Saccharomyces cerevisiae S288C: one gene and its partners. The protein of the gene in region 1 purifies or fractionates together with the protein of each later gene. This does not show direct contact. Each region holds a gene or a part of one and is shown on either strand. Other genes may lie near its edges. The genes, in order: YGR054W, DED1, RIO2 and KRE33.

What was found.
Region 2: the proteins of YGR054W (region 1) and DED1 purify together in Saccharomyces cerevisiae (affinity purification with mass spectrometry, with the first as the bait; 3 studies listed by BioGRID). This does not show direct contact.
Region 3: the proteins of YGR054W (region 1) and RIO2 purify together in Saccharomyces cerevisiae (affinity purification with mass spectrometry; 3 studies listed by BioGRID). This does not show direct contact.
Region 4: the proteins of YGR054W (region 1) and KRE33 purify together in Saccharomyces cerevisiae (affinity purification with mass spectrometry, with the first as the bait; 2 studies listed by BioGRID). This does not show direct contact.

The regions. Positions count from the first base shown.
Region 1 is NC_001139.9:594,552-599,350, reverse strand, and holds YGR054W (translation initiation factor 2A), read right to left. Parts: upstream 2,659-4,799; coding exon 730-2,658; downstream 1-729. Other genes in the region: MCO32 (Mco32p), read left to right, coding at 3,514-4,365; protein kinase FMP48, read right to left, coding at 4,646-4,799. UniProt on the Saccharomyces cerevisiae protein: Functions in the early steps of protein synthesis of a small number of specific mRNAs. Acts by directing the binding of methionyl-tRNAi to 40S ribosomal subunits.
Region 2 is NC_001147.6:721,246-725,709, reverse strand, and holds DED1 (DEAD-box ATP-dependent RNA helicase DED1), read right to left. Parts: upstream 2,800-4,464; coding exon 985-2,799; downstream 1-984. Other genes in the region: GEP3 (Gep3p), read left to right, coding at 1-146; imidazoleglycerol-phosphate dehydratase HIS3, read right to left, coding at 3,102-3,764; MRM1 (Mrm1p), read left to right, coding at 4,002-4,464. UniProt on the Saccharomyces cerevisiae protein: ATP-binding RNA helicase involved in translation initiation. Remodels RNA in response to ADP and ATP concentrations by facilitating disruption, but also formation of RNA duplexes.
Region 3 is NC_001146.8:253,406-257,130, reverse strand, and holds RIO2 (protein kinase RIO2), read right to left. Parts: upstream 1,779-3,725; coding exon 501-1,778; downstream 1-500. Other genes in the region: RTT106 (Rtt106p), read left to right, coding at 1-343; YNL208W (uncharacterized protein), read right to left, coding at 2,114-2,713; Hsp70 family ATPase SSB2, read right to left, coding at 3,231-3,725. UniProt on the Saccharomyces cerevisiae protein: Required for the final endonucleolytic cleavage of 20S pre-rRNA at site D in the cytoplasm, converting it into the mature 18S rRNA. Involved in normal export of the pre-40S particles from the nucleus to the cytoplasm.
Region 4 is NC_001146.8:373,048-378,991, forward strand, and holds KRE33 (ribosome biosynthesis protein KRE33), read left to right. Parts: upstream 1-2,273; coding exon 2,274-5,444; downstream 5,445-5,944. Other genes in the region: YNL134C (uncharacterized protein), read right to left, coding at 1-534; FYV6 (Fyv6p), read right to left, coding at 1,124-1,645; TOM22 (Tom22p), read left to right, coding at 5,720-5,944. UniProt on the Saccharomyces cerevisiae protein: RNA cytidine acetyltransferase with specificity toward both 18S rRNA and tRNAs. Catalyzes the formation of N(4)-acetylcytidine (ac4C) at positions 1280 and 1773 in 18S rRNA.

The DNA of each region.
Region 1 (4,799 bases):
AACAAAATATGATGAACAGCGGAAAAGTTTGTGTGAGAATCATCCTTATATATATATACTGTATGTAATCTTACATCACCATATGAAAATAACGGGCTGACTCAAGAAATTCACCGCCAAGTAGGAGGAACCACATTTGTAATGCAAGACTGTGTTATGTGTTACCATGGTGTGCAATAACTGCGAAGGTAGCACCGCTTGAGTCAACTGTGGCAGTTTATTAGATGCCACTCGAGTGTGGTGAACGGCAATTCCACAGTCTAACTTTTCAGTTGGCGCCGTGCCATCTCCTGGCTGCTAGGCCGATCTGTTATACAAAACCCTACACGGCGCCGTTTCTTTTTTTTTTTTCTTTTTCTGTGGCAAAGCGGCGACAGCGACGCTAAAAAAAACTGTGGTGGCGGATGCAGCGCCGGCTTACGGAGCCGAAGTGACACTCCATATTCATTTATTGCCTGGCGGTATCGTGGCATACATTGTAAGATGCGGCTGGTGGCAATCCGCCAAGAAGAGACGTAAAAATAAGGAAAATGCTCACTAATTATGTATGTATCAATTACTATTTGATGTTAAAAAAATATGTGGAAAAGTACAATAAAACAAGGGAAAAAAAGAAAGGGGGGAGGTTGGCGTAATTCTCCTGGGAAACAGTAAAAAACAATTCAAAGTAGTATTATTTGACGTTGTTAATATTTACACAGTTGTATGGATACATCAGTTTCTTCTAGTTTATTCATCCTTCCAACCCAACTTTTCCAAATCTTTCAACACTTTTTCTTCAGTTTGAATTTTTAGAACTTGCGTATCTTCTAGTTTGTCACCGACGGCCTGTCTTTCCTTCAAGGTTTCAATAGCCCTTAATTTCTTTAGTAAAGATCTTATTTTCTTCTCCTCTGGAGAAGTTTCTTTATTGTTTGTGGGGGCATTTGTGGAGGCAGGAGCAGATGGGGCCGGAGTAGAATCAGGTGACGTTTCACTTGACTTTTTATTGGCTCTTCTTCTCCTGTTCTTGGTGTTGGCGTCCTTGTTGGCACTCATGCCCGGAACTAGCCCTGGGATGGTCTTCTTTGCTGCACCAGGAGGAACTCCGGGGACAATACGTCCACCGCCTGTTCTTCTTGCGTGAGGTGGTTTATAAGCGCCTCCAGCTTTGGCCTTAGATCCGTTTCCATTGGAGCTTGCTTCTCTGCTTGGGTGTTGACTTATGTACTCTTGAACGCTAGAATGTATTTGCAATTCTGATTTATTGGATATTTTAGGATCAAGTGAAGATGTGGTCGAATCAGGTAGCGGTTCCCAGTTATTAATGATATGGTTCTCGAAAAATGCTTCGTCTTTGTTTTCCAAAGTTTTGTAATTACATGGTGACCTCCAGTCTACCTTCAAAAGCTCCTTGAACTCTTTAACAAATACTAAAGAGCCTGATACATGCCATATTTTAACGCCGTTATCCACTCTCAATCTTGGTGAAGTGGTAGCTGTCATGATAAATTCTCCACCCGGTGACCATTTGCAGACAGAAGTGTTGGTAGCGTCAAATTTACTCACACACTTGAATTTGTCGAGACGATCTAGGATTTCCACGGAGCCCTGTAAATTACCAAACCCGGCGATAAGAATGTAATGACCAGAGGGAGAGAAAAGCATGGTATTTTTGGCTTGTTGAGGTAATGAATGGACAACATTACCTCTTAAGTCAAAAAAGGAAATGGTTGCTGGCATGTAACCAGCGATGACACCGAATTGCCTTGAAGTTGGCGACCAAGTGAAATCGTGGACAGGTCCAGTGGTTAAAGAAACACGTACAGAGTTACCACCCAAAGTCCCGTTGACACCTTGGAAAGACAGTAAGTATAGTGTGTTTTCACCATAATATGATTTGTTTGAGGAATCAAAATCAGTAATAGCTAAACATAAAATAGCATTACCTAATGGATTCCATTTCAATTGGCAGGAATCAGCTTTAAAGAAAGTTTTGGAGGCAATTTTCTTGGTGATTTTACCTTCAGAGAGGGCCCATATGATTAATTGAGCCGGTTTACCACCCTTTTCTGGTGTGAAAGTACAAATTGTTGGATGTTCAGCTGGAGAGATTAGGTAGGTGGTGAAATGTTGGGACGTTTCATCATCAGACAAGACAGCAAACGGAGATTGGAAGTCGAAATTGTCGGCATTAGCGGAGCTTAATTTAACAATCTTCAAGTCGTGTTTAAAAAGTCTTAGCCCATAATTGTCTAATTTGGAGAATTGTAAAAACCAACCGCTTTGGGATTTGGCTTGATATTCGTAAGCAGGGACTATATCCTCCGAAACGCAATCTTTCTTAAATGGTTTATTCAAATACCAAACTTTAACGTTCTTGTGATTTGGGTCTTGTATAGACGCTCTCTCCCAAGTGCTTAAGTAGTTACCTGCTGGAGAGAAGTGTAGGTCATAGACGTCGGACAACTTCATTGTTAATAGAACGTTATCCAAACATGGACCTGTAAAAACTTTGACGTTCTCCTTCGTAGATAAAGCCAAAAATCTGCCACATGGCGATAAAACCGAGGAAATGACAGGGAAATCCTTGGAGTTTGTGTTGGATTGCTCAAAAGTTGGGTAGCTTTGGAAGAGCTCTATATCCTGAGAGGTTTTCAGGAAAAACTGAGATGACATAATGTTTAGGTGTTATTGAACCTGACTGTTTGTTGTAGTACTATGTTTTTTTATCGAGATGCAATGGATAGTTTAAACACAACACGTCTCAATCAACACTAAAGAAAGTTATGATTCGGTAATCTATAGGTTGCTTCTACCGTAAAGAATTCTCGCTATGTCTAGTCGTCTGGATAGATCGAGGAAAAGGAATCTTCATTGAATAACGTACACTGAAAATAAATCGCTATGAAGCTGAAATTTCATTGATGGACATGAAGAAAGCGAAGTGAAAAAAAGGAAGAAAAAGAAAGTATTGAGGAACATTCTGCGGTCGGGTAATAATATCGTACAGTATGACAGCGGCAATTTTTAATAATATTTCTGCTCACTAATAAAGTAAAGAATATAAAGAAAGGACCTTAATCTAAGATAGATGTTACTTTTTCATCTTGCAGTTTTAACACATAGAACCGAGTCTAAACATATTGAAATATTTCGATTTCTTTTGTACGAGTGCTATAAAAATGGGAAAGAACTAAAAAAAATAGGACACAACATTAACTGCCTGAGTTTCTTGAGGAAAATATTAAAAGAAATATTAGTTAAATAAATAGATTTGGTGAGATGTATTTCTATACACTGAAAGACATTCATACGCATCTCATGATGAGTCGAGCGCCTTGCGTTAAGAAGGCGCGTAGTTACGGTTACGAAAAAAATGAATAGAATACAATGTAGAGAGCGCCCTTAAAAGGCCCATAAAGAGGGATGACAGGTATGAGCCATAAAGCTGCAAGCCTCTACGGAAAACGATACATCACAACCAAGGAAAGATAGACAGTTTATATTCATAGATAATAGGGGGAAAGACTTATGTTACTAAAGTGTGTTTGCAGAGCCGGCATAATATCTATCAAAGGAATCTTTCCTCGATGGTACTCCAATTCTCAAAAAGTGGCCAATTTGGGGCAAATAACAGATTATTTAGTGGTTAAAGGTGTTCCCAATTTGTTACAAAAAATGTTCAAGGAGTCAGTGTTGGCGGATAACGTTGTTTTTAGACTATTTCCAACATCGCATCCATATATTCCAGTGTTACATGGAAAATCAAAATACATGGCTTCTTTGAATGCAATGCGAATGATAGTACGAAAGTTTATCTTGGGCGATGAATGTCGCTTGCATATAAGTTCAGTAAAGACTCTAACATCGACATCGCATGATGAAGAAGTTAAATCTGCTCTTCAGAGTTATAATACCATAACATGTAATGACAAATTGGTGATCAAATGGCAAAGCTGCATACCGGAAGACCATTGCAAGATTACCAAATTAGAAATTAATGACAGATTGAAAGAGGAGAAACGAGGCAATGGTGCAGGCGGTTCATTTTCAATGAGGTCGGTACCAGTCATAGACTACATTTTACATCCTACAGCCAATAATTTGAACCAAAGTGTTATCTCTGAGTACCTTGAAAATGCAGCTGAAAGGTCAATGGAAAATAAGGTCAACGAAACTCAAAATTCCAAAGAAGATGAGAAGAAGAAAAATGATGGCGACGGTAAAAGAAGTAAAAAAAAGAGATTATCCCGGCTGATTAAGGGAACATTCATATTCGAATTTAACGAAGAAAATTCGAAAATTCTGGTTCATACCATTGAAGATGTTGAACTGATCCATTACGAGAAGAAAATTGCCACTCGCGGTGCATTTGCATGTTAATACGATATACAAGAATTAGATAGCATCTTTATTTGTAAATAATAAACACACCATCATAAACATCACCATCAACCTTGCACAGGAGAAAAAAGGAATAAAAAGGATAAATTGATTATGATTATTTTTTAAAAAAATGAATATGTAATATTATTTTATGTCGATTAGGTAGTATGTAATACTGAAATTATGCCAAAGTTCCTAACTAAAATTGGATAAGCAGGGGATAAAAAGTCAGATCAAGGAAAATGAGGCGAAACTTTCAAAAGGTCTTTTTTACTTCTTATTTTCCATCTTGAATTAGGCAAGGTTTCTCAAAATTTTTCAATTGGAACTTTGCTGGTACTGTTTCCGTGTTCACAGACCACTGTTCCCAAAACAGATCAATCTTATTTTGGTACGAGAAGCAGCTGTCCATCGAGCTATCTTTGTTCCAT
Region 2 (4,464 bases), on another chromosome or scaffold:
CTGATACTTTGAACGCAGTGAAGAAGTCGTATTTAGAAAAAACCGAGAAAGATTTATCTGCTAGAAGATTTGTCGACGATGATCCTTATGATTTGGTTCAACACCTAGAAAAAAAAAAGAATCCCTATTGGTACTACCAATGGTAAGACTCGCTGTTCACTTGGTTGCACCAATAAGTAGTAACGCACATGTAAATATGAATGTAAGTAAACTAAAAAGAAAGTTGGGAACAAAGTATATTCAAAAACGAATATACAGGAAATAAGCAATAGAAAGTATTATGAATTATACTGTTGATGTTTATTCTATCTACAAAACACAAATAAAGTAGAGTATAAGGCGAGTCAATAAAAAGGCCTCAACTCAAAAAAGGGAGAGAAAATGTAGGAAGGAAATGAATACTATTATACAATGGTACTGTGAACAGTAAGAATATTTTCGTAAGGTAAAAAGAAACAATAACAAACAAAAAAGGTCGAAAAAACTGTTCAAAATAAAGTCTCTATTCGAAGAAAACTGAAAAAGTGGAAGTGGAAATAAAAGATAATGTAAATAATCAGTCCAATGAATAGATCGGTTAAAGCAATTAAGCAAAAATAGTGGAAAATATAGTAAAAGTAGATAATAATTCCTTCATCTTTTCACTAAAAGATGAAAATCTTAATTGCTTATAATCATAGTGAAATCTTTAGTTTTTTAGTTAATATTAGCAAAGGCATTTTATAGTACAATTGTAAAATAATATTAGAACCATGAAAGAAAAAAAAAACAAAAAAACGATGGATAAAAAATAAGAGTGGAAAAAAAGTAACAGATTAGTGGCTCCCAGTGAGAAAATAAAAAAAATATGGGGCCAATCAACGGCTAGAGAGAAACAAACAACACAGTATTTTCAGGACTTGGATAAAAAAAGTGATTGGAGAAAGAAAATATAAGACATGCTAGAGCAGAAAACGAAGAATCCTCACCCTAGTTTGTCTGAAATCACCACCAAGAAGAGTTGTTTGAACCACCGCTGTTACCCCAGCCAGAAGACTTGGAATCGCTACCCCAGCCACTACCGCCTCTGAAAGAGTTATCTCTGCTTCTTGAAGAGCCCCAGCCGCCTGCGCTAGCGCCTCCGGCCTTACGGTAATCTCTGTTGTTGTTGCGACCGAAACCGCCTCTACGGCTGTTGCTTCTGCTACCTGGAGCACTCATCATAGCGTCCTTCAAGAATGATGGGACTTCTTGGTTAGCTTCAGTCAAAATTTCATGCAAACCTTTAACAATGTTACTGTTTTCACTGTTGAAAAAGGCAGTGGCAAGACCGGTGTTACCGGCACGACCAGTTCTACCAATTCTATGGACGTAATCATCGACATCACTTGGTAAATCGTAGTTGATAACGTGGGTGACGTTTGGAATATCTAGACCTCTAGCTGCGACAGCTGTGGCAACCAATAAAGTAGCGGCACCAGATCTGAAGGCGGCCAAGGCACGTTCTCTCTCAGATTGGGTACGGTCACCATGAATGGCGGTAGCTCTAAAGTTTTGCATGATCAGGAAATCGGTCAATTGATCTGCCATTCTCTTAGTTTCGACAAAGATCAAAGTCAAACCGTCAGTGGATGCAGACAATAGATCCAATAAGGCTGACTTCTTATCTTGATTTTCAACGTATAAGACTTTTTGAGTAATGTTTTCTGAAGTAGAACCGACTCTACCAACAGACAAAAAGATGTAGTCACTTAAGAAATCACGGGCCAAATGTTGGATATCAGCGGGAAAAGTAGCTGAGAACATCAGAGTTTGTCTTTCACCAACAGGAGTCATATCACAGTCTTCGACAATATGTCTAATTTGAGGTTCGAAACCCATATCCAACATTCTATCAGCTTCATCTAGAACCAAATACTTGACGTTGGCCAAAGAAATTTTACCACGTTCCAACAAGTCATTCAAACGACCTGGAGTAGCGACTAAAAGATCGCAACCACGTTCAATTTCTCTTAGTTGGTTACCAATTGGAGAACCACCGTAGACGACGCAGGCCTTGACCCAGGATCTATAAGTAAATTTCTTGGCTTCATCGAAAATTTGGGTGGCCAACTCTCTAGTTGGAGCCATAATGACAGCAGTTGGGTAGGCCTTTCTTTGGTAAAAGGAGCCTTGAGACTCTGGTTGAGGAGATGGTCCAGTCTTAAATGATTCGGACAACACTGGGAATAAAAACCCACCAGTCTTACCAGAACCGGTCTGCGCACAGGCCATCAAATCTCTGCCGTTGGCAACGATAGGGACGGAGTATTTTTGCACAGGTGTTGGCTTGGTGAAACGGGCCAATTTGATGTTTTCCAATAACAATCCGTCCAATGGAGGTGAGGTAAATTCTGTGATTGGTTCAGGAACATCCTTACCAGAGGCGTCCACTGGAATATCATCGTAGTTATCGAAGTTAATACCAGAAGATTGGAAATTTGGATCCTCGGGGACACCAAATATGGCGATCTCGGCCTTTTCGTTTCTTGGAGCTGGGACATGTTTGCCATCGATCCATCTACCACCAGAACGGCCGTTAGATCTGCTGCCACCGTTGTTTCCACCGAAGAAACCACCGTTGCCGTAACCACCACGACGGTTGTTGCTAAAGAAGCTGCCACCGCCACGGCCACCGTTGTAGCCGCCGTTGTTGTTATTGTAGTTGCTACTGTTATTTCTGGCACTTCTTGGTTTTCCTCTTAAGTGAGGAGGAACATAACCATTCTCGTTGTTGTCGTTGATGCTTAAATTTTGCACTTGTTCGCTCAGTTCAGCCATAATATGAAATGCTTTTCTTGTTGTTCTTACGGAATACCACTTGCCACCTATCACCACAACTAACTTTTTCCCGTTCCTCCATCTCTTTTATATTTTTTTTCTCGAGTTCAAGAGAAAAAAAAAGAAAAAGCAAAAAGAAAAAAGGAAAGCGCGCCTCGTTCAGAATGACACGTATAGAATGATGCATTACCTTGTCATCTTCAGTATCATACTGTTCGTATACATACTTACTGACATTCATAGGTATACATATATACACATGTATATATATCGTATGCTGCAGCTTTAAATAATCGGTGTCACTACATAAGAACACCTTTGGTGGAGGGAACATCGTTGGTACCATTGGGCGAGGTGGCTTCTCTTATGGCAACCGCAAGAGCCTTGAACGCACTCTCACTACGGTGATGATCATTCTTGCCTCGCAGACAATCAACGTGGAGGGTAATTCTGCTAGCCTCTGCAAAGCTTTCAAGAAAATGCGGGATCATCTCGCAAGAGAGATCTCCTACTTTCTCCCTTTGCAAACCAAGTTCGACAACTGCGTACGGCCTGTTCGAAAGATCTACCACCGCTCTGGAAAGTGCCTCATCCAAAGGCGCAAATCCTGATCCAAACCTTTTTACTCCACGCACGGCCCCTAGGGCCTCTTTAAAAGCTTGACCGAGAGCAATCCCGCAGTCTTCAGTGGTGTGATGGTCGTCTATGTGTAAGTCACCAATGCACTCAACGATTAGCGACCAGCCGGAATGCTTGGCCAGAGCATGTATCATATGGTCCAGAAACCCTATACCTGTGTGGACGTTAATCACTTGCGATTGTGTGGCCTGTTCTGCTACTGCTTCTGCCTCTTTTTCTGGGAAGATCGAGTGCTCTATCGCTAGGGGACCACCCTTTAAAGAGATCGCAATCTGAATCTTGGTTTCATTTGTAATACGCTTTACTAGGGCTTTCTGCTCTGTCATCTTTGCCTTCGTTTATCTTGCCTGCTCATTTTTTAGTATATTCTTCGAAGAAATCACATTACTTTATATAATGTATAATTCATTATGTGATAATGCCAATCGCTAAGAAAAAAAAAGAGTCATCCGCTAGGTGGAAAAAAAAAAATGAAAATCATTACCGAGGCATAAAAAAATATAGAGTGTACTAGAGGAGGCCAAGAGTAATAGAAAAAGAAAATTGCGGGAAAGGACTGTGTTATGACTTCCCTGACTAATGCCGTGTTCAAACGATACCTGGCAGTGACTCCTAGCGCTCACCAAGCTCTTAAAACGAGAATTAAGAAAAAGTCGTCATCTTTCGATAAGTTTTTCCCACAGCAAAGCAATAGTAGAAAAAAACAATGGGAAACGTTGAATGAAGACAAAGCGTCGTGGTTTAAAAGGAAATACGCTCACGTACATGCTAGGGAACAGGACCGTGCAGCGGATCCATATGGCAAGAAAAAGGCCCACGTCGAGAAGCTAAAGGAGATCAAGAATCAGGCGAAATTAAACCAAAAGAGCCATAAATCCAAGTTCCAGAATAAGGACATTGCTCTGAAACTTATGAATGATAATCCTATCTTCGAATATGTCTACGGCACCAACAGCGTTTATGCAGCGTTGCTGAACCCGAGTAGAAATTGCCATTCTCGGTTGCTGTACCATGGCACTATTCCTA
Region 3 (3,725 bases), on another chromosome or scaffold:
CGAGAAAAAGGCAGGTGTGTTTTCAGACGATGATGAAGAAAATGACCAAAATTTCGAAGCTGAGAGCGACCTTTCCGATGGGAGTGGCCAAGAATCCTCAGACGGTGCAGAAGACGGAGAGGAAGCAGAAGAAGATGATGAAGAAGACGATGAAGAGGAAGACAAAAAGGGCCAAAGCGCTTTGAATAGAGATAATAGTTTTGCTTCTATAAATGGTCAACCAGAACAGGAACTCCAATACAAAGAGTTTAAGGAGCCGTTAGAACTCGAAGATATTCCGATAGAAATTGATAATGATGACGATGAAGATGATGAGGATGGATCCGGAGTAGAATACGATTGACTTAGATTCGATATTATAATATAGCATGAATACGCATATGTAAGAGTTCATAAATACCACTTTTTTTATCCTGAAGAATAACATGGCTTAAAAATCAAAAAAATTATGGATAACAACTTGATTATTTGCGGCCATTTATGCAGTCGTCTAAACTAAACTACTCTAGTATATAGTTTCCTAGTTTATCCATTTTTAGATTTTCAACACCACTGGAAAGCGCCTCTATAATACGTTCGTTCTCCTCTTCTTGTGCATCTTCACTGTCATCTTCAGAACTTTCATTATCAAGTTCGGAGTCATAGTATTCATCCTCCTCTGAATAATCGCCCTCCCCATTTTCTTCTTCGGCCTCGTCATTAGACATATCGTCATCTGAATTATAAACAGCATTTCTCATGCTTTCAACGGCAGTTTCCAGGCCCCTATCTCCTGGATGCTTTTTGCTAAATCCGGAAGCCTGCACCAATTCATCCAAATTGTCGGTTCTTTTAACGTCCCTTTTGAAATCTGGATACGCATATTTATAACCATCGCCGAAACCTTCAGTGTCGAGCATTGATGAATCAGGTTTTGGTTCGTACTTCAGTTTCTTTTTGAAGAAACGACGAATACAGTCAACATCCCTTTGGAAATAATAGTCGGCGTCTTGGTGTTGAATAGATATACATTGTGGAAAATCAATAACTACGAACCCACAATCGTTTTCATCCTCTAGTTTGTCCTTTATCATAATATTAAACTCATTAAAATCACAATGGATAAGTCCGCTATTTGCTAGATCAACGATGAAACACATCAGATCACTATAAAGCTTGGGTATATTCTTATGTTTTCTTAATCTCCTCATTGGGTAACCCTCGATAAGCTCCATAACGACTATATGACGCGAGTTATCGAATGGCTCAGGGACCTTGAAACCCTTAGAATAAAGCATGGACATAAACTGATATTCTTTATTGGCTGCCAAACGTGAAAGATGCATCCAGTTTGCCCCCTGGTTGGATTTCTTCAGATAATCTCTATTATTTCTGACGGAATGAAAAGAGGTTCTACCTAATCTGTGAATTTTCATTACTCTAGGGTTTCCATTTTTGTCACTTACTTTATAGATGTCAGATTCCTTACCAACACCAATAGTGTTACCGACAGAATAGACAGTGTCTCTGTTTAACATGGTTTTCAAAGCCAAATAATCAATACCGTTATAAGTTAGCCTGTAACCATCATATTTGACATTTCTCATTTTGGAAATAAGGCTAAGCTTGGCCAAATCACTAATGGCTCGGTTTGTTCCGGACTGCGATCTCATCCCCGAGATTTGATGAATCAAGGGAGTTGGAACGACTTCGTGACTTCTAGAACCTTGTTCAACGGCCTGGAGGACACGAAAATCATCAGTTGTCAAATATCTCATATGAGAAGTATCCAATTTCATTCTAGTCTGATTGAAAGTATGTGGTAGAAGAGATGTTTAAAATAGTATTGATTGGTCAATAGAAAGACGAGCCAAGGATAAATGGTTTAATATTATTGAGTAGTTCTTACTTTAAGCTAATTACTGATGATCCTTGACCTTACCAAAATCATGAATTGCGGGTTCCAACTTCAACAGAGAACCTCATCGCCAAATTTTTAGCTTATTTTTTCACGTTTTCTTTTCTCGAATAAGTCATTTGTTACGACATCATAATAAAACGAGTAGTATATATGTATATATAGATAAATCAAGTATGTAGTTAGCTAAAAATGACACTCACTCTGTTGAGCCATTCACCAACGTGAACCGCCATTGAATCCTTGACGACCTTGGCCCCCGAATTCCTGAGGGTTTGGACCACCGAATCCTTGGCCACCTGGCCCGCCGAATTCTTGAGGATTTGGACCACCGAATCCTTGGCCACCTGGACCACCAAACTCTTGTGGACCAGGACCTCCAAATCCTTGTGGGCCTTGTCTTCCGAAACCTTGACCGCCAGGGCCGCCTGGACCGCCAAATCCACCGTTATTGTTGTTATTGTCCTGACGGTGATGGTTGTTGTGTCCACCTTGAGGAGCACCTCCGAAGTTTGAGTTGCCGTATTGCTCTTGTTGCTTATGCTCTTTACGCTCATCAGATATCTTGTTGGCAAGGAATGCACCACCTATGGCGCCCAGCACACCACTCAACTTAGAATGGTTGTTCGACACCTTAGATCCAGCGTACGCACCGGCACTGCCACCTACAATAGTGGAAAATAAACCACGTTCACCGTTGGGGTTACCATTGTCGGCACCATATTGACCGTTGTTTGGAGCACCAGTTCTTTCTTGGTTGTTTTGCTGGTTATATTGACCTTGTTGGCCACTTGAGTAGAATTCGTTTGCAGACATTTTGGACACTTGTTAGATTGTCTTAAGTGATCTATATTTGGAAGGCTTACAAGTGTTTAGCAAGACAAATTAAAGTCTTTCTTTATAAATGACTGCTCAGATTGAGTTTTTTGCCAAGCCCAACAGCCAGCCCCTTTTCCGGTATGGGCTGTGCGGGTGCCGGAATTATTAATACTGAATATTAGCCCACGCCTCATTTTTAGCATGAACGAAGAATGCTAGCGGGGCGAAATGCGAATACAGTAAAAACTCCACATGGTTGTTTTATGCAGCCGAAAAGCAGTTTCATACGTGCCACAGCTTTGGGCAGCCAGAAAAGTTGCCTTAGTATGTTGGTGTGTATCAGTCAAACACTCGTTTGATGCCTCAAGAGGGGAAACAGAAGAATAATTGAATTTATGATTGTATGATATCTTGATCGTGATATACAGAACTAAAACTTCATCTAAGATACAAAAGCTAAGACATTAAAAATGAAAAATATATATATGTGTATAACCTTAACCAGAATGACATCTTAACGAGAAGACATGGCCTTGGTGACAACTCTCTTCAAACCAACTTCTGCCTTTCTCAACTCATCAGCGGATGGGTCTTCGATTTGCAAAGCAGCCAAAGCATCGGACAAAGCAGCTTCGATCTTGGACTTGGAACCTCTCTTCAATTTAGAAGACAAGACTGGGTCAGTGACGGTTTGTTCGATGGAAGCGACGTAGGATTCTAGTCTTTGTCTAGCTTCGTGCTTCTTAGCAAAAGCTTCATCAGCAGCCTTGAACTCTTCGGCTTGGTTAACCATCTTTTCAATTTCTTCAGAAGACAATCTACCGACAGCGTTGGAGATAGTGATGTTAGAAGACTTACCGGTAGACTTTTCGACGGCAGTAACCTTCAAGATACCGTTAGCATCAACTTCGAAGATAGCTTCCAAGACTGGTTCACCAGCTGGCATCATTGGGATGTTCTTCAAGTCGAATTCACCCAACAAAGTGTTTTCTTTACAGTTGACACGTTC
Region 4 (5,944 bases), on another chromosome or scaffold:
GATGGGTTGATCTCTTTGCGCTTTGGAGGGCTTCCATGTCATGTCCAAGCCAAAACTATGTGTAAGGATCATACCAGCCGTGGTCAATGAGACTGGGAGGGATACTGCCCCTTCTAAAGATTTTACGGGGCCTTCTGGTAGCTTGTCTTTACCGCACAATCTAAACTCTCTGGCTGGTTTATAAGCAGTCTCGGATGAAATGGCAGAGTACTCAGCAAAGGCACCGTTTGAGGGGAACCTCACTGAAGCACCGTGAATAACCCCATAAATGTAATCACCAATGGCAAAGCGTGCAGCATCAACATTTGGGCCCAACTTTACGATTTGGCCGGCTGCATCACAGCCTAAGAGGGCACCTTGAGGACCAATCTTGAAATCAATATGTTTCCAATCGGTAGGGTTACCGGCAACGGCGACAGTCTTAATTAGAACAAATCCTTCTTCTAATTCAGGAATTGGAATGTCCTGTTTGACTACAGCCTTGCCATTTTCAATGACAACGGCTTTCATGGTTTCTGGAATCGAGGCGGACATGCTTGATATGCAGTATGATATTGCTTTTTGCTGTGTATAGTTAACGATTTTTTTTCAACTAGAATTACAGTACTAATCAAGAAGTGAGAGGAAGAAAACGGCAAAAAAAAAACTCTCTCCTTTTAAATCGAAGCATTGCCGAAATACCTTAAAAACGGTCTTAAATCCTTAACATCTGTCCTTACTAATCGATGCCAATCCAACGGAGGGAGCCCATATGCTAGGTACTAAGAGTACGCAGGGGCGGAACCGCGCGACAACCGTAAGCGGATCCGAGGAACTTTAGTCAGCAGGGGCTGTGATGACCATTAAAAAATTGCGGACACAGGTAGTGGAACGAGCAATCAATGTGATCAATTTGCCATTTCATTCCACGAAATGGTTTCCATTCTAAGCATGAATGCTTTGACGTTACGGGTGTTGGTTATTTCGGTTCTTTTTATTGCTTCCGTGGGCACGTACGAGAAGGGAAGATGAATAGAAAAAGAGTTTCCGAGTTTTGTATGTCCAATGTTTACATAATTTATATAACTTGAAGTTTAATCTTGGCATAAAGCTCTAGTTGTGACGAAGTGTGTAGGCCATCACATCAGTTCTCCAGTTTTCTACCCAATTTTTTTATGGATACCTTGATTTTTGGTTTAGGGCTGGATGTCTTTACGCCCTTTATTTGTGTTTTACTGCCCAAACTAGTGCCGGTCTCTAAATATTTTTCTGTATTAGTAGTAGAATCGTTCTCCATTAGTAATGCTTTTTTTTTCTTTTCAAAATTGATTGCCTTGACGTCTAAGTAGTTATTCAGTTCTTTTTCCTTTTTTAGCAACTCATTCTTGCTCTTCTGGTAAAATTCCAGGTCCTCTTTACTCAACCTAGTAAAACTTTCACGGTCTCTCACCAAACCGTTATATTGTTTTTGTTTACTAATAGCATTAGACCTAAGCTGATCTCGCAGGGACTTCCTGGTTTTCCTTTTATATTCCGCTTCATATTTTTTTTGCTCCACTTGCTCTCGTATCCTCTGGGCCTCTACATTACCAACTCCTTCTGACACGAATTTCAGTGGTTTTTTCTCTCTTGCACTATTAGCATTATTATCACTGGTAGATGACATGATGATATAACAGAGCCCACAGTCTTTTGTTGGAACCGCTTTCTCTAGGCTTCGATGGACTTACATCTAATTGCACATTCTCGTGCGTTTAAACGTCATTTTTCCCTCAGATTGGCAGTGCATCAAAAGTAATTCCTAGGGACGACAAAAAGGCGGAAAAGGTTTCAGAAAAATAAGCGGACTTAGCTCAGTTGGGAGAGCGCCAGACTGAAGAAAAACTTCGGTCAAGTCATCTGGAGGTCCTGTGTTCGATCCACAGAGTTCGCAATTTGAAAAATTTTTTTTAATGATTACGCATGTGGATGTGTTCAGTATCAACCGATGCTCGCTTTTCCAATCAAATGATACAAGCCAGACCGAACATTGCATGTTTTCCATTGTAACTTCCCAGGTATATCTGAATTAGTTGTAAAAAGTAATAGTTTACCCGGAATCGTGTGAAAAATTTTGAAAAAAAAAAATGAAGAGCCAAGATACAATGAGATGAGATGAGGTGCTGAAGATGCATGGAGATTCTGTATTTATCTCAAATAAAGTACGCAATAGAGTATATAAGCCAAGTCACCTTTTATATTTCTTAGTTTTTAACTTGCAAAGACTTATAAGAGACTTATAAAACAAGGAGAAAATGGCCAAAAAAGCTATCGATTCAAGAATCCCGTCACTGATCAGGAATGGTGTTCAAACCAAACAAAGGTCCATATTTGTCATCGTTGGGGACAGGGCACGTAACCAGCTCCCAAATTTACATTATTTGATGATGAGTGCTGACCTTAAGATGAACAAGTCCGTCTTATGGGCTTATAAGAAGAAGCTTCTAGGATTCACTTCGCACAGAAAAAAAAGAGAGAATAAAATTAAGAAAGAAATTAAAAGAGGTACAAGGGAAGTGAATGAAATGGACCCTTTTGAATCTTTTATCTCTAACCAAAATATCAGATATGTATACTACAAAGAGAGTGAGAAAATATTGGGTAATACCTATGGTATGTGTATTCTTCAGGACTTCGAGGCATTAACCCCAAATCTTTTAGCAAGAACCATTGAAACTGTAGAAGGTGGTGGTATTGTGGTTATTTTATTGAAATCAATGTCATCGTTAAAGCAACTGTACACCATGACTATGGATGTTCACGCCCGTTATCGTACTGAGGCTCATGGTGACGTTGTTGCAAGATTTAACGAAAGATTCATACTTTCTTTAGGTTCAAATCCAAACTGTTTAGTCGTTGATGATGAATTAAATGTTCTACCGCTATCTGGTGCCAAAAACGTGAAACCACTACCTCCTAAGGAAGATGACGAATTGCCTCCAAAGCAATTAGAGTTGCAAGAATTAAAAGAATCCTTAGAAGATGTCCAACCAGCTGGTTCATTGGTTTCTCTATCCAAAACTGTCAATCAAGCCCACGCTATTCTTTCTTTCATTGATGCCATTTCGGAAAAAACTTTGAATTTCACAGTTGCACTAACAGCTGGAAGAGGTAGAGGTAAGTCTGCTGCTTTAGGTATTTCTATTGCCGCGGCCGTTTCTCACGGGTATTCTAATATTTTTGTTACTTCTCCATCTCCCGAAAATTTAAAGACTCTATTTGAGTTTATTTTCAAAGGATTCGATGCCTTAGGTTACCAAGAACACATTGATTATGATATCATTCAATCTACGAACCCCGACTTCAACAAAGCCATTGTGAGAGTTGATATTAAAAGAGATCACAGACAAACGATTCAATATATTGTTCCTCAAGACCATCAAGTTCTGGGCCAAGCTGAATTAGTTGTCATTGATGAAGCTGCAGCTATTCCTTTGCCAATCGTCAAGAACTTGCTGGGCCCATATCTAGTCTTCATGGCATCCACTATCAATGGTTACGAAGGTACGGGTAGATCTTTATCTCTGAAGTTAATTCAGCAATTGCGTAATCAAAACAACACATCCGGTCGGGAAAGTACTCAAACCGCCGTTGTTTCGAGAGATAATAAGGAAAAAGACTCTCACTTACATTCTCAATCCCGTCAATTACGTGAAATTTCCTTGGACGAACCAATCAGATATGCTCCTGGTGACCCAATTGAAAAATGGTTAAACAAGCTCTTATGTTTAGATGTTACTTTAATTAAAAACCCAAGATTTGCAACAAGAGGAACTCCTCACCCATCCCAATGTAATCTATTTGTTGTCAATAGAGATACTCTATTTTCTTATCATCCTGTCTCAGAAAATTTCCTGGAAAAAATGATGGCACTGTACGTTTCATCCCATTACAAGAATTCTCCAAACGACTTACAACTGATGAGTGACGCCCCAGCGCACAAACTATTTGTTCTTTTACCACCAATTGATCCAAAGGATGGCGGCAGGATCCCTGACCCTCTATGTGTCATTCAAATTGCATTGGAAGGTGAAATCAGTAAGGAGAGTGTCAGAAATTCATTATCGAGAGGCCAAAGAGCTGGTGGTGATTTAATCCCATGGCTGATCTCTCAACAATTCCAAGACGAGGAATTCGCTAGTTTGAGTGGTGCTCGTATCGTCAGAATTGCCACTAATCCTGAATACGCATCCATGGGCTATGGTTCTCGTGCAATTGAATTACTGAGAGACTATTTCGAGGGTAAATTCACTGACATGTCTGAAGATGTTCGTCCTAAGGATTATTCTATAAAGAGGGTGAGCGATAAGGAACTGGCCAAAACTAATTTATTAAAGGATGACGTTAAATTAAGAGACGCAAAAACGTTGCCACCTCTACTATTAAAACTTTCTGAACAGCCTCCTCATTATCTACATTATTTGGGTGTTTCATATGGTTTAACGCAATCGTTGCATAAATTCTGGAAGAATAACAGCTTTGTTCCTGTTTATTTACGTCAAACCGCAAACGATTTAACTGGTGAACATACTTGTGTTATGTTGAACGTTTTGGAAGGCAGAGAATCAAACTGGCTCGTTGAATTTGCCAAAGATTTCCGTAAAAGATTTCTGTCGCTTCTTTCTTATGATTTTCATAAGTTTACTGCCGTTCAAGCCTTAAGTGTCATTGAAAGTAGTAAGAAAGCACAAGATTTGTCTGATGACGAAAAGCATGATAATAAAGAATTGACGCGGACGCATCTGGATGACATTTTTTCTCCATTTGACTTGAAAAGATTGGATAGCTACTCAAATAATTTGCTAGATTATCACGTTATCGGTGATATGATACCCATGCTTGCTCTTTTGTACTTCGGCGATAAAATGGGAGATTCAGTAAAACTATCAAGCGTCCAGAGTGCTATCCTGTTGGCTATAGGGTTACAGCGTAAAAACATCGACACTATTGCCAAGGAATTGAATTTACCTTCCAATCAAACTATTGCTATGTTTGCGAAGATCATGAGAAAAATGTCTCAGTACTTCCGTCAGCTGTTAAGCCAATCAATTGAAGAAACTCTACCAAATATCAAAGATGATGCTATTGCTGAAATGGATGGTGAAGAAATCAAAAATTACAACGCTGCAGAAGCACTGGACCAAATGGAAGAAGATTTAGAAGAAGCCGGTTCTGAAGCCGTTCAGGCGATGAGGGAAAAACAAAAAGAGCTAATCAACTCCTTGAACTTAGATAAATACGCCATAAATGATAACAGTGAGGAATGGGCTGAATCTCAAAAATCTTTAGAAATAGCTGCCAAGGCCAAAGGCGTCGTCAGTTTAAAAACTGGTAAAAAGAGAACGACTGAAAAGGCTGAAGATATCTATAGACAAGAGATGAAAGCTATGAAAAAACCAAGAAAGTCTAAAAAGGCTGCAAATTAAGCGTTCTACTCTTTGTCAAACCCTTTTATAGCTAAACGTTTACTTAATTTGTACAATAATATAGAATAGAAACATAGTTGATGTTTGAACCTTTACATATTCCTTTCAATCGTGTCGAGCGATATAAGTATTACGATTATGCCGGCGAAAACTGAACCCGTTTTAGACAATTTCAATCAACATACTCCACTCCGTAGTGAGTAACTTTTGGAGTAATACGAAGTAACCAAAGAGGTCAAAACGGAACTATATACCCCAAAATAAGCATCATTCAAATGGTCGAATTAACTGAAATTAAAGACGATGTCGTTCAATTAGACGAACCACAATTTTCCAGAAATCAGGCCATCGTGGAAGAAAAGGCTTCTGCAACAAACAACGACGTTGTCGATGATGAAGATGACTCTGATAGTGATTTTGAAGATGAATTTGATGAAAATGAAACATTGTTGGACAGAATCGTTGCTTTAAAAGACATTGTCCCCCCAGGTAAGAGACAA